2 linked regions of the Callithrix jacchus genome follow. The protein of the gene in region 2 binds, or shares a complex with, the protein of the main gene of each other region. Links are inferred from orthologs where the notes say so. Each region holds a gene or a part of one and is shown on either strand. Other genes may lie near its edges.

Region 1 (10,601 bases), on a different chromosome or scaffold from region 2:
CATGAGCTACCACTCCTAGCTAATGTTTGTATTTTTTATTGAGATGGGGTTTTTCCATGTTGCCCAGGCTGGTTTCAAATTCCTGAGCTCAAGCAATCTACCCTCCTCAGCCTCCCAAAGTGCTGGGATTACAGGTGTGAGCCACCATGCCTGGCCAAGAATTTCAAATTTAAAGTTTCTATAGAATTTAAGAATTTTTAAAAATAATCATAGACTGTGCTGATAAAACAATGCAAATCAAATAAGATTAAAATAAAAACATATTAACATAAAAATTTACCTTTCAGGAAGCTGAGTTGCAACCACAACAGTAAACCTACAGAAAAATGAAGGATCATTGTCTAGAAGGTTTTCTGGACTCTAAATAGGACAGCAAAGAAAAAAAACCCAACAATTTCACAATCATATTAAACATGGCAGAAATAGTTAAGCTATTTTACAACAAATGAGGCAACAAATCCAATTCAACTAATCATAAATGATACAAAGATTCAAAATTCTAAATTTCTAGGGCTTTGAATTATTTTAAAAAATTGTATTTCAGCAGACATAAAAATGTGTGTACATATATACCTCTTCCACAAAACTTCCAGAGACATCGCTATTTAATTCTTGTAAGAATTCCATGGCAGCTTGAGCTCGGTTCTTTTTAAAAACAAAGCATTTAACTTGAATTAGAAAAAAGTTTGGTCACAATATAATCCCCCAATTTATGGAACAGGCAAACATACTGTAAAACTATCCAAATTTCATATGTAAGTATGACAACTCTGTTTCCCTTCTTTTTTCTTTTTAGAGACAGGCTTTTGCTCTGTTACCCAGTTTGAAGCATAGTGGCCTGATCATAGCTCACTGCAGCCTCAAACTCCTAGGCTTAAGCAATCCTCCTGCCTCAGCCTCTCAAGTAGGTGGGACTACAGGCACGTGCTACCATGCCCAGCTAATTAAAAAAAAATATTTTGTAGAGGCAGGGTCTTGCCATGTTGCCCAGGCTGGTCTTGAACTCCTGGCCTCAAGCAATCCTCCTGCCTTGACCTCCCAAAGTGCTGAGACTACAGGCATGAGCCACCAGTCCCAGCCAATTCTGCTTCCCCTAGTGTTTATGACTCAACAGAATATTACTTAAAACAAAGGAAAACCATCATTATCCAGAGTTCTCAAACAACATTTTTGTACTCAACTTTTTTGATTTGACAAATGACCAAAAAACTCTAGGTAGCAGGCAGGGATATCCTAGATCATGTTCAGACTCACTGTCACCCCCCAAATCTAGAATCCTGTACAAAAGTGGTTAATCACTATGCTAACAGTCATTTCACTAAGTTGACTAATATGGTTTCATAAGATTTTTTAATTTGAAATACAAAGATAGAACATCTTCTGGCTCTTATTAAAAATTCTGTCAACTAGAATCCATCTTCTGAATATTACATTACTCAAGATTTAGCTTTAATACAGGATACAATGTATAAGCACAGATAGTACTTCTAAGTTTTTAAACCACCAAACATATGAAGATTTACAAGATTAGAAAAATTTGGTAACTTTTTCTCAGAGAAATAATATGCTTTTTTAAAGTCAAAGCTTTTCAAACAATCAAAGCATAGTGGCACCATTAGATCCTCAAGTGCAACTATATTCTCTAACAAATTGTTTACCTTGCCGATACTGCTTCTTTGAAGGAAGAAACTAAAGTGAACAGAATAAAGGGAAAAAAAGTAAAGCTTACTAATTTTAAAGGAAAAGCTCTTTGTAATAGCATGCATATTCATTCATAGTATAAAACAAGCTATATTGTGATTACAGATGGTAATGGCCTTCCTAGAGGAAGAAAATCAGATAGGCTTATAAACAAAGATAGGCTAATAAGTCAATGTTTCTTTTCCAAAGTGTGTACCACTTTGGGAAATGTGAATATCACAAGATCCTCTGAGAAAAAAGGGTTCCTTGGCTAAAAAAAGTTTGGGAAACACCATATGCTATATTTCCCTCTTGGAAATTCATAATATACATAAAACATATGATACTAAAATTTTTTTTTTTTGAGATGGAGTCTTACTCTGTCGCCAGGCTGGAGTGCAGTGGTACTATCTCAGCTCACTGCAACCTCTGACTCCCTGGTTGAAGGGATTCTCCTGCCTCAGCCTCCCGAGTAGCTGAGATTACAGGCAAGCGCCACCGCACCCAGCTAATTTTTTGTATTTTTAGTAGCGATGGAGTTTCTCCATGTTGGTCAGGCTAGTCCCAAACTCCCGACCTGAGGGGATTTACCTGCCTTGGCCTCCCAAAGTGCTGGGACTACAGGCATGAGCCACCGTGTCCAGCCAACTTTTTGCATTTTTAGTAGAGATTGGGTTTTGCTATGTTGGCCAGGCTGGTCTTGAACTCCTGACCTCAAGTGATCTGCCCGCCTCAGCCTCTCAAAGTGCTGGCATTACAGGCCTGAGCCACTGCACCCTGCCACTAAAATCTTAAGGTAAAGAAATTTTAACTTTATTTGATCCATTTCCCAAACTAATTTGACCATGGAACCCACCGGCCCATTTAACAGCTTTTAACATTCTCTAGAACCAGTGTTCCATAGATTAGTCTCGGTGTACTGAACCATTTGTTTTTGCACGTAACTATAACAGATTTATTCAGACTTCCTCCCACACATACCCTTGACATGTCTCAAGGCCCAGATATGAGGCTGCTGATCAGAGTCAAGATGCCATTTTTTGGCATAAACTCACTGGCTCCATAGAAAAAACTCTATTTTTATCACATTCTACTCTAACCAACCAAGTAAGCAAAGAGAACAAGATTTCTTTATACATGTCAATAAAAAGGCTGTTCTGTGCCTAGCAGAAACTGGCACTACCACCCAAAGAAAAGGCATCAAAACTAAATATGAACTAATTGTTGGTTTTCCTTATATTTACTCACTGTTGTTATTACTGACAAATACAATGAAAGATACCAGACTTCAAGCCCCTGAAAAAGTGCGGAGCATTAAATCCAAATTTGGGAATGCTCTGAAAATCTACATATAATCTTTAAAGAATAATATACAGGCCATCTTTAAAACAGCATTTCGTAGACACAGTATAAAGTGATATACGCCTAGACTAAGCTGAGAAGACATACAGGTATTATTGTTAATTATATGTGATTATATAGGAGTCAGTGCAAGAGCTTAGAAGTGTCCATATTACATGAATAAACAAATAATGACTACTCTTTTATATTCATAACAATCCAGTAATGATGAGTACCTTTTATTAATGGCCCATTTGCCAAATGCTGTATTGCACTTTACCTGTATTATCTCACTTCCTCCTCACCATAATCCCAAACAAAGATGACTTCCACTGAGAGCCGAGTCACCCTGACTGAAGCTAGGATTCAGGACTTGCCTTCCCATGAAAGTGCACTGCCTTCCTTAACATGTATATATTTGAAAAGAATAGAACATACTTGTTTCCAGCATCTTCTCCGCTGACCTGATTGCCATCAATAATTGTAAACGAACCAACACCTGAGAGCCAAAACAGAGTAAGTCAGGAATGTACAGTTCTAGGTCATAATCTTAAAGAAGTAAATTTAGAACACAACCACAAAACTACATTACCTGGTAGTACCAAGTTTTTAAGAATTTCAGTTCCTGTGGCTGTTGCATTTATTAGGCAAACATGAGCAGATTCTAAAGCCTCTTGCCCATGATCACCCCACAACCTACAAAAGAGACACAAATTTGACATGTTTAAAGCTTTCATGACAATACAGCTTTCTTATTTGAATAGTGATCTTTTTTTTTCTTTTTGAGACGGCCTCTTATTCTGTCACCAGGCTGGAGTGCAGTGGAGTGATCAGTGCAATCTCCACCTCCTGGGTTCAAGTGATTCTTCTGCCTCAGCCTCCCTAGGAGCTGGTCCTACAGGCACATCCCACCACGCCCGGCTAGTTTTCTATATTTTTAGTAAAGATGGAGTTTCACCACGTTAGCCAGGATGGTCTGGATCTCCTGACCTCATGATCCGCCCACCTCGGCCTCCCAAAGTGCTGGGATTACAGGCATGGGCCACCATGCCTGGACTCATTTATTCTTAAGTTATGTTAGATGCATTTAAGTTAAGTTAGATGTATTTAAGATCTTGACATAGGGCTTGTTACTGTGACTTCTCCAAGGATGGGCAAAACCTTTACCAAGAAAACTGAATTATCATCTGAAAAGCCTCACGTCAACTTCTACAGGAGTGCTTTAAAGTATAATACCCAATGAACATTCTAAGAGCATGATTAATGTGCCTTCCCCATCACCTAATCTAAAGCAGATTACTCCTTATTACGTAACCAGTATGTCCTCCAGAGCATATGACAAGCAACTGCCTCATTTTTCTTTTTTTTTTTTTGAGACAGGGTCTCACTGTGTTGTCCAGGCTGGTCTTGAACTACTGGGTTCAAGCATTTCTCTGGCCTCAGCCTCTAGAGTTGCTGGGACTTCAGGCACAAGCCACTGCACCTGGCTTCATTTGTTTTTGTTTGCTGGGCATCCATCTTTCCACTCCACTCTTAGCTTTGTAAGGGCCCAGACAGCTGTCAAATGTGTGGAGGAATCGCCTGGAAGAACCAGATGGACTGTAAATGCCCGTTTTCTCCATGAAAGTATAGCACGCAGAAGACACCTGACATATATTTGATGGATGCTTGAATAGCTGGAGAGTAAACTTAAGAATACTGGTTCATCAGGGAGGCAAAGGTTGCAGTGAGCCAAGATTGCACCACTGCACTCCAGCCTGGTGCCTGGCAACAGAGCAAGACTCTGTCTCAAAAAAAAAAAAAAATAAAATAATAATAATAATAATAATACTGGTTCATTTCAGCTGGGCGAGGTGGTTCACGCCTGTAATCCCAGCACTTTGGGAGGCCAAGGCAGGCGGATCACCTGAGGTCAGGTGTTCAAGGACAGACTGGCCAACATGGTGAAACCCTGTCTCTACTAAAAATATAAAAATTAGCTGGGTACACACCTGTAATCCTAGCTACTTGGGAGGCTGAGGCACAAATCGCTTGACCCCGAGAAGCAGAGGTTGCAGTGAGCCAAGATCATGCCACTGCACTCCAGCCTGGGTGACAGAGTGAGACTCGGTCTCAAAAAAAAAAAAAAAAAGAATCCTGGTATGCCTCTAAGTAACATGTTTCAAGAAGAGGTAAAACGTATTCAGTCCTCTCTAACTTGCTGGCCCAATTAAGGTGAAGCCAGGAGGGCCGTATTGACTGCTGCATTTTGCTTCTAACTGCTTCCCTTTGACAGTTCAAAACCAATAACCAGTTCTCACTATGAAAGGTAAAGTTTGGGACTTAAATGGAATGTCTTCAGCAAAACCCCTCTTTTGTTAGAGTTGCTAAGTAACCTCAACTATCTTCTCAGCTCTGTCACACGTATGGTTATACCTGCATTCAAAACAGACAAACTCCAATAATTTACAAGAAAACCTAAGTTGGTTATAAGGACTGTCACCTTTCTTTCTTTTCCTAAAAGCTTGGGAGCAGGATGTAACTGTGTACCTCCAAAAAACCCAGAAGAGCCTGACTTTACATCCTGGCTCAAGATATGGGGAACTCTGTGCAAGTTACCTAACTTCTCCAAGACTCAGTTTCCCTAATTGTAAAGCACAGGAAATGGCTGCTTTCAAGGGTGCTCTCAGACTTAAGTGCCTCTAATACAACACTAGGCTGGTGGTACAAACAGAAACTCCAGTCCTTGGAGATACATAACTTCTGTTGTCTCAGAGGCTCCAGGAAGAGGAAGCCAAGCAGCTTTGTTACTTCCACAGCCTCAAGATATAGAAGACGCTCAATAAATAAGCAATGGGGAGTGAAAGAAAAGGCAAGGGTGGGGAAGTAGCCAAGGACCCTCCTGATGGCTTGGGCCTGCAATGCCCATTAAGGTAGCCGCCAGCTACACGTACTACTGAGCAACGAGGCTAGTGTTAACTGAGATGTACTGTAAGTGTAGAAGGCAGTATTTCTAAGACAGTTTTGGGTTTTCTTTTTTTTAAAGAGTCTCGCTCTGTCACCCAGGCTGGAGTGCAGTGGCGTGATTTCAGCTCACTGAAACCTACACCTCCTGGATTCAAACGATTTTCTGGCCTCAGCCTCCAGAGTAACTGGGATTACAGGCGCGCGCCACCACACCCGGCTAATTTTTGAATTTTTAATAAAGATGAGGTTTGACCATGGTGCCCAGGCTGGTCTCAAATTCCTGACCTCAAACTCCTGATCCACCCGCCTCCGCCTCCCATAGTGCTGTGATTACAGGCGTGAGCCACCATGCCCGTCTTCCAAGACAGTTTTAAAAAGGAAAATACTCATGACCATCCTGCAAGGTGGCAAGATCCCGTTTCTACAAAAAACATAAAATATTTTTTAAAATTAAGTAAAATGTCTTCATAACTTCTTATGTTGATTACTTGTTAAGATAGTAATATTTTGGACATATTGGGTTAAATTGTATTTAAAAATAATTTTCACCTATTTCTTTTTACTTTTAGAGTGGTTACTATAAAATTTATAATTAAATTTGTGATTCACATGAGACTGGCATTACATTTCCATTGGACAGCGCTGGTGAGAACAAAACCGAACCCTCTATGCCGCTCTTGCGGCAGGGATGGGGTGCGTTCTGGGCCTCCCCATTCTGAAAACCAGGAGCCTGGGCGCGGCGAGGCGGGGCGGGCAGCCGCGCTAGCGACCGGGCTTGGCAATGGGGACTGCGTGTCCCGAATCGCACACCGCGTGGCGGGGAAAGGGGTCCTGGTCCTCGCGGAGCACCCTCGGCCCGGGGCGGGAGGCCAGAGCGCCGGCTTCCCGCGCCCCACACGGCCCGGCCCAGCCTGAAAGGAGGCCTGAGGGAGGCCCGATCGCGCCGCCTGCGCCCTTAGGCCCGGCCCGGACTCAGGGAAGCCCGCCGGCCCACCCTCGGCTCGGTGAGCCCCGGCTCACCTCAGCTGCCGGTCGTACTTCTGCTCCTTGAGCAGCTTCCCCGGCTGCGCCATGGCCGCGCCCGCCGCGCGGAGAACCGGGGAGCCCCCGCAGAGCGCCGCCACCAGCTCTACGAGCGCGCAGGCGCACTGAGCGCCCCTCCGCCGCCACCGCCTCCTGCGCGCTGCCCGCAGGGGGCGCCGCACTGCACTGCGCACGCGTCACGGGTACACTAAGGGCGTAAGCGGCCCCGGCCCCGAGCAGGTCTGGGGATCTCGGTCCCAGTAGGCAGGAGGGGCAGCCCCGCTAGCCTACCAATTCGCGGTCTGGCCGTGCAGCATTTGGGGGCGACTGGGGCCTTGGAATCAGGCACACTTGTATTTTGACCACTTAACTGGTTGTGAGATCTCTTTACCTCTCAAATCCTCCGTTTGCTCACCTGTGCAGTGGGGATAAATGGGTTCCAAGTGTCTTTGGCCTTAAATGAGAATTTGAATACAGGAGGCCAGACTCCCCCAAAGTCTTGCATGAATAATAACTTTCGTTGTGATTATCATTATTTTTCACCCATTTCTTCCTCTCATGAAAAAGCCCACAAGCCTATTTTGAATCACAAACTCCCTGCTGCAGATGCAAACAAGTCCAGGGCTCTGTTGTTGAAGAGTTTAGTCTGGTGAAGGGAGAGGGTCAGTAAACAAGCACTCACCAGACAATGTGGCCTTCCTGTAGATAGAGGGAAGTAGCGTGCTCAGGGTGCACAGAACAAGCTCCCCACTCGCCCTCTCCAAGAATGTTTCATGTGGTGTGGAGATGGAAGGGTTTTTTTTGTTTTGTTTTGTTTTTTGAAACAGGATCTCACTCTATTGCTCAGGCTGGAGTTCGGTGGTGCAGTCTTAATCCACTGCAGCCTTAAGCTTCTGGGCAGCAATCCTCCCACCTCAGCCTCCCAAGTAGCTAGGACTACAGACGTGCACCACCACACCCAACTAATTTTTGTATTTTTTGTAGAGACAGGGTTTTGCCATGGTCCAGGTTGGTCTCAAACTCCTGGGCTCAAGCGATCTGCCCACCTTAGCCTCCCAATGTGCTCAGATTACAGGCATGAGCCACCGTGCCCAGCTGGAAGGGTGTTTTAAGCATAAGGAACAGCAGGTGCCATCTCTAAGAGGCAAAGAAGGCATAGCAAGCCGCAGGTGCTAGAGTAAGTTGGTCAGGTGAAGAATCAGGGGTGGTTTGGAAGGTTTGAGACAAAGCTGGGACGGGCTGGGTTCAGAGGACTGCGAACATAGATTCAAGGAGGAATTTAAAGTCCTCCACTTCCTGAAAAGACCCTCTTCTCAGGAAGAGAATAGCTGTCTTGTGGGGATGGCAGGCCATGGAAGGAGGTTTTGTTTCATGAGGACAACTGGGAGGGGGGTGGTGCTGAAGACAAGGTGACCGTCTGGAATAAAGATGAAGACTCCTTCCTCTCTTATCTTCCAGACCCTACAGGCACCTTCAGGTTAATAACTCCCTGAAATAAGGTGGAAATGAGTACGGATTCCCCACCCCCAACCGCCTAGGTTAGGAACCAGAGTGGTGGCACAGTTTGATGGTAATGATGCAGTGGTGATAAGTTGCACTTTCCCCTGGGCGTGTTCTCCAGACCAGGGTGAGAGTACACCCTTACATACCTTCCCTTGTCCTTACTCAACTCTCATGGAACACAACTGATGAGAAACAGAGGCGTGAGGCTTTCCCAGCTCATCATGTGTTTGTGCTGTCACATTTCCTTCTCCAAGTGAACAAGTGAAATATAAGGGATAATAAAATACACTCCAGGAAAGTAGGAAGGTCAAAAGGCAGCAGATGAGAGTTCACTGCTTTGCTTCTCATGCCCATGGACTTCAGGAAAGGAAATATCCTCAAATTTGGTAGAGGGCGAGTCATAGTGCCTGTGAAGAAGTAAATTACTTTGAAAAGGCTTGTGTTAGAGGCCGGGTATGGTGGCTCATGCCTGTAATCCAAGCACTTTGGAGGCCAAGGCAGGCGGATCACCTGCAGTTGGGAGTTCAAGACCAGCCTGACCAACATGGTGAAACTCCATCTTTAAAAAAAAAAAAGAAGAAGAAGTTAAGAAAAGGTTTGTGTTGGTGGTGTCTGTAAAATGATAACTCAGGGTGTCAGTTTCCTAGGAATGTTGTAACAAAGAACCACAAACCAGGTGGCTTAAAACAAGAGAAATTTATTGTCTTACAGTTCTGGAGGCTGGAGGTCTACAATCAAAGTGTGGGCAAGACTATGCTCCTTCTGAAACCTGTAGGGGAAAATCTGTCCTTGCTTCTTCTTGGCTTCCTGGGGTTTGCTGGCAATCCTTGGCTAGCAGCCACAGCACTTCAATCTCTGCCTCACCGCTACATGGCATGCTCCCCTCATCTCTCTGTTTCTCCTCTCATAAGGACACAAGTCACATTGGATTAGAGCTCATGCTGATGACTTCATCTTAACTGGATTAATTACACTTGCAAAGACCCTATATTTAAATAAGATCTCCACAGGTACTGGCAGGTTAGGACTTCAGTAACTTCTGGGGAAGACATAATTCAGCCCGTACCCAGCACCTTTGTATTAATATTATTTTTTAGAGGCAGGGTCTCACTATATTGCCCACACTTGTCTCAAACTCCTGGGTTCAAGCAGTCCTCCCACCTCAGCCCCCCGAAGTACTGGGACTACAGGCCTGAGTCACTGAGCCTGGCCCTGCCCATTTTGTAATAGGGTTATTTTTTTATTTTTATTGAGTGGTCTGATTTGTACATTTTAGATATTAGTCCCTGATCTAATGTATAGTTTGTAAATATTTTTTCTCAATCTGTGGGTTGTCTCTTTACTCTGTCATTTCCTTTGCTGTGCAGAAGCTTTTTAATTTGGTATAAACACATTTATCTATTTTTTCTTTTGTTCCCTATGCTTTTGGAGTCTGGTCACTATTTTTTGGTGGGGTGAGGGACAGGATCTCATTGTTTCACCTGAGCTTCAGTGCAGTGGTTATAATCATGGCTCACTGTAGCCTCAACCTCCTGGCCTCAAGCAATCCTCCTGCTTCAGCCTTCTAAGCAGCTGGGACTACAGGCACCCACTGCCATGCTTGGCTAATTTTTATATTATTTTCTGTAGAGATGAAAGTGAAAATAATGATAATAATTCAACCCATAAAACCATGTAAAAGTGCCTATGCTGGAAGAGGAGAGACTGATCAAACATAGTTCTTTTGATGGCCCTGCCATGAAAGAACTCAAGGTGAGTCCTCCCTGTTGTGGAGGGTGGAAACTAGAGGTATCAGACCAGGAAGCCATGGTGTAATTCCTTTAAGCTATTGGTTTTCAAACTGTGGTCCTGGACCAGTAGCATCGACATCACTTTGGAAACTTGTTAGAAAGGCAAATTCTTGTCTGGGTGCAGTGGCTCATGCCTGTAATCCCAGCACTTTGGGAGGCCAAGACAGGAGGATTCTTTGAGGCCAGGAGTTCGAGACTAGCCTGGGTAACACAGAAGACTCTGTCTCTACAAAATAAATAAATAAATAAATAAAAATAAAAAATTAGCCAGGTGTGGTGGTGTATGCCTTTAGTCCAGTTATTTAGGAGGCAGAGGTG
Region 2 (10,359 bases):
GGCGGGCGTGTTTGCTCCTCTTTACTTCTAGATTGGCTGTGTAAGTGGTTAGGTACAGGAAAACAGGGACCTCGAGTCAGGACAAGAGACTGAGTGCAGAATAGAGATGAAATGACAAAGCAAACAGCAGAAATCCCCTTTCTGAAGCGAGGTGGCAATGTCTTCTTTGGTAGTCTGAACACCAGGGGCCTCCTTTGAAATACCTTTTTTAAAGGTTTAACTTAGAAGTGTATTTTCTGACTTAGAGAAAAATTTTGGCAGCTGTGCAGATGCCACTATAAGTCAAATGAAATGGAAGGCGACTACAGTGTTACTGGATAATGAGCTGCTTTTGAAAACTACCTCTTACTAACCTCTACACATCTGAATGCAATTCCCATGTTTTCTCTGTTTCACCATGAGTCACTATGTGTGAAATCAGATTGGCAAAACGGGAAAGAAGGTCATGTCGAACAGAAAGGCTGGTTTGTTTTTTTCACTTCTCTTCTTTGTTCTCCATCTCTATTCTCTTGAGGCTGAACTGTTGGACTGCTGTGCCATTCTGATAAAGTGATAAATTTGGCACGCTGCTCACTTTAGACAACTGGGCATGTTGCTTACATTTTAAAGCAAACAGTTGTCTCCAGTGAACTAGTTGTTCTGCATCTAGCGTTTTGTGAGCAGAAATATGCATTCCACTTCAAATGTTTTCTTAGTTTTATTGAAAAATTTGGTGACAACTTTCACTGAGGAACCACAGTATATTCATAGATAAGGTATCCCAGAACTAAGAACTGGCAAGGGATGTATTCATTGTAAATTATCTTCTAAGCTTTCAAAAGGTCATCGTTTTTCAGTTAATGAGCTGATTGTTACATTATATGAGAAAAAGTATTTTGTTTAATTGTATAATGTAATAGGTAGGATTCTAAGATGAAGACTTCTGAGATAACAGAGTCTGTAGGCCCATAGTGGTTTAGACAAACTGAATTCACTCTACTCAGATAATTAATTTTCAAAATCTTAGAAAGTAATGAAATATACTTATGCAAAGTCTAGAAAATAATTTAATCTTCCTTGTTGATTCAGAAGGCAGTTAAGGAGCTTACAGTGACTCTAAGAAATTACTACTACTACTGGTGTTTAGGAAAGTTTGGTGATTGCAAAGAATTAGTGCTGACTAAGATATATCTTATGTGCTGCCTTTTGAATAAAGTTTAAAATGTGAAAATATTACTGAATGCTCACGTTCTCTTGATTCTGGAAAAATGGGATGGTGTGAAGTCAGAGAAAGCAAAATTAGAGTCCCAGCTCCTTCCTCTCTGACAGGTGACTTTGGAGAAATTACCTGATCTCTCCTAGCATCAATTTCTTCATGTGTAAAGTGGGGATAATGGAACATCTGCCACAAAGGTGAGGATAAGTGAAGGAATGTATAGGAAGTGCTTAGTGTATGACAAATGTTCACAGTTATACGTTACTATTATTGTCATTAGTAATAGGCTAGCCCATGATTCATGTCTGCTATTAATAGTGCTTTAATCTGATTTGTTTTCTATAAGCATCTACTGACTTTTCTCTACCTTGCTCCAATTTTATTGTTGTGGTCATATCTGGGTAGATATAATAGGAGGAGAAAGATTGAGAATATTCAGTACAATGCCAACAGGTATTTCAAGTTCTTTTGAGGCTCTGGGACAACATGGTATTAAAAAAAATAAAAGAGGAGAAAGATGAAATCCTGCTCTGCCTTCAAAACTCCTGCAATCCAGTGGAAACACTAGTTAAATATGAGACAGTGAGATGAGGGCTAAATAGAGATGCACTGAGCCACAGTGCACAGTTACAGGAAGTCAGAGGGTGTGGAGGAATTTCCCAGGGCTTCAGAATGTCAAGAAGCAGCACTGTGGGCAAGCTGAGTAAATCATTTTGGTCAAAGTGTGGGGCCCCACACTGTTAGATTTATGAGTATTAGAAGCTGTGATCAAGAACTTTATCTTCTGGCCAGGCGCGGTGGGCTCACGCCTGTAATCCCAGCACTTTGGTAGGCTGAGGCGGGTGGATCATGAGGTCAAGAGATCAAGACCATCCTGGTCAACATGGTGAAACCCCGTCTCTACTAAAAATACAAAAAAAAAAAAAGTTAGCTGGGCATGGAGGCACGTGCCTGTAATTCCAGCTACTCAGGAAGCTGAGGCAGGAGAATTGCCTGAACCCAGGAGGCGGAGGTTGTGGTGAGCCGAGATCGCGCCATTGCACTCCAGCCTGGGTAACAAGAGTGAAACTCCATCTCAAAAAAAAAAAAAAGAACTTTATCCTCCAACTGCTCAGAACTACATGACCAAAAGCTGTCAAGAGTATATTAGTAACAATATGATTACGCCTTGATTACAGGCAATTGATACCCAAGAGTTATTTGTTTAAACCTTAAAAGGGGTTTAAAAAGAAAGAAATTCTAAAAAGACAGAGAAAGCTGTTTATAGCATGATTCCTTTCTCCCTCTCTCCCAAAATGTTATTTCTGTTTCTCTCTTTGGGAGATTTTTTTTTTCTAAATATTTTTACCTTTGTTAAAAAAAATTTTTTTTTTAAATGAACACATTATGAGTCATTTCTTTATTCCAGTAACTGTTTGAAATGCTGTAAGTAGCAACTCTTTGTTAGTGTTCATTCTGGGGAGAGAGACGTCAGATTCACTGCAGAGGTCTTCCTGGAGCTTTGACTTATTACTATTTTTAGAGACAGGGTCTTACTCTGTTGCCCAGGCTGGTCTTAAACTCCTGGGCTCAAGCAGACCTCCCACTTCAGCCTCCCAAGTAGCCAGGATAAAAGGCATGGGAATCCAAGCCCCACTTCATGGGGCTTTTATAATGGGACTGGTGTGTCTAGATAGGACAGAATATCTGTCTGTTTTAAACCTATAGCAGATAGTCTAATTGTTTATGATACGTTCCATTTGAAGTAAAATAAATCTGTTGGAGGTTTTGCTTGCATGTCTCTGTTGCTATCATTACTGGCAAGGGCAGATGGCTATTTCTGATCCGTCAATCAATCTGAGCCAGTGAGAGTGCCTGGTGGCATTAATCAAAATACCACCATAGTGAGTCAGGGTGTTCTTCTCAAAGCAAGCAGATACAGGGCCAGATGCCTTTGCAGACTTCTTCATAAGTTAGCTGTATTCTATCCCTAGGCCTAAGTTTCCTCCCCATGAAACAGGTGAGATTGGACTAGGTGGTCTCTAAGGTGCCTGTTGGTTTCACCATGTGAGAGGGCTACAATGCTCACTACCACTAATCAAAGGGTATCCAGTATTATTGGGGGTTCAGGCTACAGGAGCCCATTTTAATAAGCACTGAGGTTAAATCCTCAGTGAAGCCATCTGTGGAGTTGTCTGATTGTCTGATCAAGAAAAAGTGGTTTCATAGTTGATGCTGAGATATGTGATGCAGAAGGAGGCTGGAATCTCTTGATAATGGACTATGAACTTTAATTCCACACCCACTGCCTGGCACTAACTTTCAGCTCAATGAATGCTATTGAACTGAACCTAACTGGGGGGGCCATAAAGGACAAGCTTTCCTTAAGGTTCAATGAAAACTAGGACAAGAGGAGATTAAATTTCACAATGTAGTAATGGCAGCTCCATTTATGAGTCCCTATTAGGGTTTATGTATTTCATTTCAGTGGCTCTCAAACTTTACCAGCAGAGAACGACCCCAGGCTTTGCAGAAGGTTGAGGGTGGGGCCTGAAAATTTGTGTTAACAAAAAATTCCCGAGTGATGTTGATCAGAAACTGTATTCTGAGAGCCACTCTGGATTTTACTTAATTATCAGTCTTACAAGGTGAATAGTGTTATGCCTATTTTATAAATGAAGACATAGAAGTGTCTAAGGGTCTCATAGCTCATAACTGTGAAGGATTTAAAATCAATTACTTTTGATTCCAAATCTCATTCTTGTCCCACTCCATAAAAGGAGATGTGTGTGTATGTATATATAAATGCATTTTTGAACATGATCATTTCTGTCTATCCAGCCATCCAGACTCACATGTATATTTGTATTTTTGACTCTATAAGAAAATAGCTGACACTTTGCTCACTCTTTATCTTGAGGTAACAGGATTATGGGTGTTCTAAATTATTATTTGATTTTTGTCCTTTATACTTTCTTCTTTGCATCTAAATATATACATTTATCACAGAAAAAAAAGTTTTAACGAAATCATTTCATTTCTGTTGAACTTATCTAACAGAATGTGACACAAAAATATTAATGTTGATTTGTACAAAGAAAATAATAATCTCTCATCCCACCACTGTAAACTGATTTAGATAAAATTATTCAAGTGAGTTCTTGTAAAGGCAAAGACTTTGGAATCATCCTGAAAAGCAGAAAGTGAAAATTTCCTTGGTCTTTGTCTTAGAGGAAAGCCTCTGGCATATTTAGATGGTTCTTCAGGAGTTTTTTAAAGAATATACCAGTATTTTATATAATTACTCATTAACATATAATTTGTACAAATGCATAATGTATTGTCTACATTTTCACGCTGCATAGCAACATTATGGACGGCATAAGATTTACTTAATTAAGTGTAGGTAATTAAGATTATAATTACAGGGAAAGGTTTTAAAGCCCACGGGAGTCCTAGCGCAGTCAGCCCCGCCCTTCCGGGCGGGCTCCGTCCCCGCCCCCGTCCCCGCCCCCGTCCCCGCCCCCACCCCGCCCCGCTTTGCCTGCCCCCTCCCCGCTTTGCCTGTCCCCCGCCCCGGCTTTGCCTGCCCCGCCCCCCGCCCCGCTTCGCTGGTCCCGCCCCTCCCCGCCCCGCCGCTAGGGCACCTGGGAAGAGGCGGAGAACAATATGGCGGATGGCGAGGAGCCGTAAGTACCGGGACTCTGTAGACGCGCCGGGCTGGGCTGGGTTGTGAGAGAGCGCGGCGGTGGGCGGTTGCCGCCGCCACCCGGGGTCCCCCAGCCCCCCGCCCCGTCCCCTCGCCCCGCCATCCCCTCGCGGCGCCCAGTGTGTAGCGTGATGCTGACCCTTCTTTTATTCTCTCTTTCTTTTAGGGAGAAGAAAAGAAGGAGAATAGAGGAGCTGCTGGCTGAGAAGTTAGTGCTGCCGGGAGGCCGGGGTCCTCTCCGGGGACCCCGGCCTCCCCCAACCCCAGGCCTAGGGGACCAGCCGCAGCGGGCCCGGGGGGCTGGGAGAGGGACACCCGGAGCGCAGGCCACGCGGCCTCATCCCTTGACCCCCGTCCCGCAGCCCTGGGGGCCTGGCAGGCCGTTCCCGGTTTCTGCGCAGTGCGGGCGTCGGGGCCGGGCTGCACCGCCCCAGCTCCTGCAGGGGCCCTCCAGGGTACTTGACGTAAGGGTCTTGAGGAAGGACCCTTGTGCACTCCTCTTTCTCCATCCCAAATTGTCAGAGCCGTGACCCTGTGAAAAGGGAATCTACTTTAAACACCCAGGAAAAGGACACAAGACCGTTTTGTGGCCTTTTGCAAACACTGAGACAGTAGTACTAATTGCAAACTTTTAATGATAACTCTACGTGTCAGATATTGTACTAAGCACTCCAGTCATTTTGGCAGAATAATTGGCTCTTAAAAGAGATTGACCTCAAACAGCCTGTTTTTCTCATTTACTACACACCCTATTTTTTATCAGATGCGTAGTTCTATGCTGGTGAGACAGATTTAATCGAAGTGTTTTCTAACCTGGCCAACGCCACATAATTTACTCCCCTCCCTGCCTGGGCAGGGAAACTTGCATTGGGTATGGTGAGTCTGTAATTTCCGTGCCAGTTCCCAGTAGCAGCTTTGGTCTTTAGGTATGTCCTTCAGACAGTTGAATTTCAACTGTGAGAGGACTGGGATGGCAAGCTTAATTTCACATTCTTTCCTGCCTTTTATTTCCCTCCTCCTTTTACGTGAAATCACAGTTAAACTTTGCTTACCACATGCCATGTATTGTTCTGAGTCCTCTCTATGTGATTACTTCTAGTCTCATGGCCGAAAGAAGTAGCTATGAATGGCCTACAGAGGAGGTTTATGGCCATTAAGAAATCTACTCAAGGTCATAGTGCTGTTAATTGTGGAACCGAGTACAACTCTTGACATCAAAACCTACGGTTTTTAGTGCTAGGCAATACTTCTTGGTCTCTTTTGTAAAAATTGGATATTGCAAACATATTTGAAAGTAGAAAGTGTGGGGTTATAGGAGGTTAGAAAATTTAAAATTATCACAACCAAACGTGAATCTTGCACTAGGTATAAAAGAGATGCATTTTGTAGAGGAGTCCCACCTTATTCTGTTGTGTGTTCTAAAGGGTTTCTAGATGCCTATCTGTGGCGTTATTGTAACCTAAAACTTCTTGTGTTTAGTGGCAAGAAAAACTGCCTCACAGTTTTAAGAGATTCTTTTAAAAATTAGGACCTCTGCCAGGTGCGGTGGCTCACTTCTATAATCCCAGCACTTTGGGAGGCCTAGGCAGGCAGATTACTTGAGCTCAGGAGTTCTAGACCAGCCTGGGCAACATGGTGAAACCCATCTCTACTAAAAATACAAAAATTAGCTGGGTATGGTGATACGTGCCTGTAGGCCCAGCTACTTGGGAAGCTGAGGCAGGGGAATCGCTTGAGCCCAGGAGGGCAAGGCTGCAGTGAGCTGCAATTGTGCCACTGCACTCCAGCCTGGGCAATTCAGGGAGACTGTCTCAAAGAAAAAAAAAAAAAAGGAAAAGAGAATATTAGAACCTCTCTTTCTGAGAAAAGTGTGTGAAAATTCCACTCATCAAAAATGATTTTTAGATTACACCTTTCAAACTTGGAAAGGACACAAGAAGTATTAAATTTGAAGCGTCAGAATTCTGGAAGTTGACTTTATTTTTTCTATTGTATCTCATGTTTCCTAATGCAAGTGTGTTGAAGCAACAGACTGAGAAAGTTTGCAGTGATTTTTTTGTTTTGTAAATACCAAATGTAGAGAAGTCCATTTCTAATGGATAGACCAATATCCTAAGTTGGACCTTGGATTGCATTAGGAAACCAAAAACATGTAGACTGATTGATTTCATCCAGTGGGTGAAATAAAAATAGAAATGTGGAGTTCTTAACTTTAAATCAATTGTATAATGGGCAAGAAAAAATTTCAAAGCATTAACATGAGCACGTTGAATATTTCCCTTTTTATTTGAGCAGGTGTGGTGTAGTTACCTTTTCATTTGGGGTTACCATATAGTTGTAGGTTTGGTTTTTTTCATACTGATGTTTGCAGCTGAATTTACTGTGTTCTGTGCAGAATGGCTGTTGATGGTGGGTGTGGGGACTCTGGAGACTGGGAAGGTCGCTGGAACCATGTAAAGAAGTTCCTCGAGCGATCTGGACCCTTCACACACCCTGATTTCGAACCGAGCACTGAAGTGAGAAACATTTATTTTTAAATAACTGCTCTAATAGTTTTATGTTTCAAAAATAATAGAATGCTTCCTTTTTAATTTGCTCTTATAATGAAAATACTAATAAAATTGTTTTGTGAAACTAAATTTTTTTAAAATATGAAATTGAATATTCACAACTGATTTTGTTTGAATGACCGTTTGAGTCTTCACATTTCTCATGTTACATAAGTTAAAAATTTTCAATAGAAAAATATGACCTTATGTAAAATTTAAGTTATACTTAAAATTCTAGTTTAAAATGCTCTCTGAAATATACTCCCCTTTTGTAGTACTATCGTGAGAAATTAATTTTGATAGGAATATAGATGCGCTTATTTACATTTTGAAATTTGGTTGGAATGAACATCTTAGCATTGAGTATAATTAGTTGCATGTTAAGAATTATGTGAGTACTAAATAATAGAGGCGTAGAATTTTGGACTGTTAGTGTCTGACTTAAGGCAAGTGTTCAATTATATGTGACTTACTTTTTATTACAGGGTAGGAAAAGTATAGCGTATGTTTATATCCTTTGTATTTACAAAAAGATAATATTTTGAAATAGAAATATTGTGCTACTTCTGTACATTAATGTGCACACTCTGGGTTTGGCCTAGTGTCTCATCTGAATAAATTTCTCCTTTAATGTTGGGCAGAATTGAAAGTATTTAAAAAAAAAAAAAAAAAAAAAAAGGCTGGGCGCAGTGGCTCACGCCTGTAATCCCAGCACTTTGGGGGGCCGAGGTGAGCAGATCACAAGGTCAAGAGATCGAGACCATTCTGCACAACATGGTGAAACCCCGTCTCTACTAAAAATACAAAGTTAGCTGGGCGTGGTGGCACATGCCTGTAATCCCAGCTACTTGGGAGGCTGAGGCAGCAGTGAGCCGAGATCATGCCATTGCAATCCAGCCTGGGCAACAAAAGCAAAATGTCATCTCAAAAAAAAATTTTTTTAATCGTTACTTCTGTTAAATGATTTTATTTTTGCCGATAAGGAATTTTCTAAGACTTGTATTTGTGTTTTCCTGTTATCTCATGTTTTGTGAGTTTCACTTACTTAATCAAAAGGAACTGTTGGCCAGGTAAGGTGGCTCATGCCTGTAATCCCAAAACTTTGGGATGCCAGAGTGGGAGGATCACTTGAGCCCAAGAGTTCAGACCACCCTAGGCAACTTAGGGAGAACCCATCTCTTAAAAAAAAAAATTAGCTGGGCATAGTGATACATGTCTTTGGTTTCAGGTACTCAGGAGGCTGAGGTGGGAGGATTGCTTGAGGGCATCTGGAGGTAGAGGCTACAGGGAGCTCTGATCAGGCCACTGTACTCCAGCCTGGGTGACACAGTGAGACCCTGTCTCAAAAAAAAAAAAAAAAAAAAGCAGCTGTTACTCTTCTAACCTTATTTTTTTAGTCCTTTAAGCACCTTGGGTAGTGTTTAATCCTGTTTTTAAGATTTTTAAACTTAAATTTTTAGGAAGTCAGTTAAATAACTGAATTTGATGTTTTCTATTCCTTTTCAAAAATTGAAAAGCAAACTAAAGATAGTTTTTCTTGTTAAAAAATAGCCTTTTAATTTCATACAATAAAAGGCAATTTAAAAACATTAGCAGCCAGACATCGTGGCTCATGCCTGTAAGCCCAGGACTTTGGAAGGGCGAGGCGGGCAGATCACCTGAGGGTCAGGAATTTGAGACCAGCCTGGTCAACATGGTGAAACCCCCGTCTCTACTAAAAATACAAAAATTAGCTGGGTGTGGTGGCTCATGCCTGTAATCCTAGCACTTTGGGAGGCTGAGGTGGGTAGATCACCCGAGGTCAGGATTTCAAGACCAGCCTGGCCATCATGGTGAAACCCCATCTTTAAAAAAAAAAAATACAAAAATTAGCTGGGTGTGGTGGTTCATGCCTGTAATCCCAGCTACTCAAGAGGCTGAGGCAGGAGAATTGCTTGAACCCAGGAGGCAGAGGTTGCAGTGAGCCAAGATCACATCACTGCACTCCAACCTGTGCGACAAAAGCAAGACTCCATCTCAAAAAATGAAACTAACATTGAAACTTACTGAAATCATTAGAGTTTTAGAATTTCTGGTTCGATAAGAATTCATACATTTAAAATAATTGATCAAATACAAAGTCTTCTCTTTATCCTAATTGCATTTTTTCGTGGAAACATCAGAAACTGTTTTAAAGTTTGTTGCTTTATTGACAGTCCTTGTGGTTATTACCCAGCTTTTAATATGCCTTTCCGTTCTTTACAGTCTCTCCAGTTCTTGTTAGATACTTGTAAAGTTCTAGTCATTGGAGCTGGCGGCTTAGGATGTGAGCTCCTGAAAAATCTGGTAATATATACACACATATATATATTTATATATATATATAAAAAATACATATTATTTTCTTTTTTGTGATAAGTAAACCTTGCTTATCTGTCATACTAGGAAATTTATTGTCATTGTTAACCTTTTCTCTTGAGCCTTTTTTAGATAAGTTTAGCACATCAAATTCCAGTGATTAAAATGATGATAGAACTTTGGAATTTTTTTAACTCTAAAGCTTTCAGCTATAAAATCATTGATAGAATTTCTTACTTCCATTTTCTTCTCTGATCTTTACTAAACAAATTTTGGCGCTTCCTCTGGCGAAACACTCCTAACCTCAGTGAAGTAAATAACAAAACTGGTAATTCATATTTAATGTATAGTTTCAAATAATTTATTATTTTTTTTGCTTCCCCAAATAACCCAGCTAGGCGGGTAAGGCATTGCTCCATTTTATATAGAGGGAGACTTTGAGGTTTAGAGATGTTGACTGACTTGCTGAAGTTTTTCTGGATTATAGTGATGTGCCTGGAATATAATTTAGGTCATCAACTCTTAGTTCAGTGTTCTTTTTCAGTGAACCATTAGATCATTATATGACCTCATAAGACAATCATGGACTC

What was found. Proteins that work in one complex are often made in the same cells at the same time.
Region 1: the proteins of UBA3 (region 2) and NAE1 are in contact, whole or in part, in a crystal structure (PDB 3DBR), measured with the Homo sapiens proteins. The link is inferred for Callithrix jacchus from reciprocal best matches to the Homo sapiens genes UBA3 and NAE1. Residues at the interface, in NP_003959.3 of Homo sapiens: Trp34, Glu35, Gly36, Arg37, Trp38, Asn39, His40, Lys43, Phe44, Glu46, Arg47, Ser48, Gly49, Pro50, Phe51, Thr52, Phe56, Glu83, Lys86, Asn87, Leu90, Ser91, Val106, Ser107, Leu109, Asn110, Arg111, Phe113, Leu114, Arg116; in NP_003896.1 of Homo sapiens: Glu10, Gln11, Lys12, Tyr13, Asp14, Arg15, Gln16, Leu17, Arg18, Leu19, Trp20, Asp22, Glu44, Lys47, Asn48, Leu51, Pro52, Gly67, Glu68, Ala70, Gly71, Asn72, Asn73, Phe74, Phe75, Gln77, Arg78, Ile81, Phe92, Glu95.

The regions. Positions count from the first base shown.
Region 1 is NC_133521.1:24,332,296-24,342,896, forward strand, and holds the start of NAE1 (NEDD8-activating enzyme E1 regulatory subunit), read right to left. Parts: upstream 7,118-10,601; 5' UTR 7,041-7,117; coding exon 6,988-7,040; intron 3,718-6,987; coding exon 3,614-3,717; intron 3,521-3,613; coding exon 3,460-3,520; intron 1,690-3,459; coding exon 1,659-1,689; intron 646-1,658; coding exon 574-645; intron 361-573; coding exon 281-360; intron 1-280. UniProt on the Homo sapiens protein: Regulatory subunit of the dimeric UBA3-NAE1 E1 enzyme. E1 activates NEDD8 by first adenylating its C-terminal glycine residue with ATP, thereafter linking this residue to the side chain of the catalytic cysteine, yielding a NEDD8-UBA3 thioester and free AMP.
Region 2 is NC_133516.1:50,892,014-50,902,372, reverse strand, and holds the start of UBA3 (NEDD8-activating enzyme E1 catalytic subunit), read left to right. Parts: upstream 1-4,814; 5' UTR 4,815-4,843; coding exon 4,844-4,863; intron 4,864-5,049; coding exon 5,050-5,091; intron 5,092-7,278; coding exon 7,279-7,399; intron 7,400-9,676; coding exon 9,677-9,757; intron 9,758-10,359. UniProt on the Homo sapiens protein: Catalytic subunit of the dimeric UBA3-NAE1 E1 enzyme. E1 activates NEDD8 by first adenylating its C-terminal glycine residue with ATP, thereafter linking this residue to the side chain of the catalytic cysteine, yielding a NEDD8-UBA3 thioester and free AMP.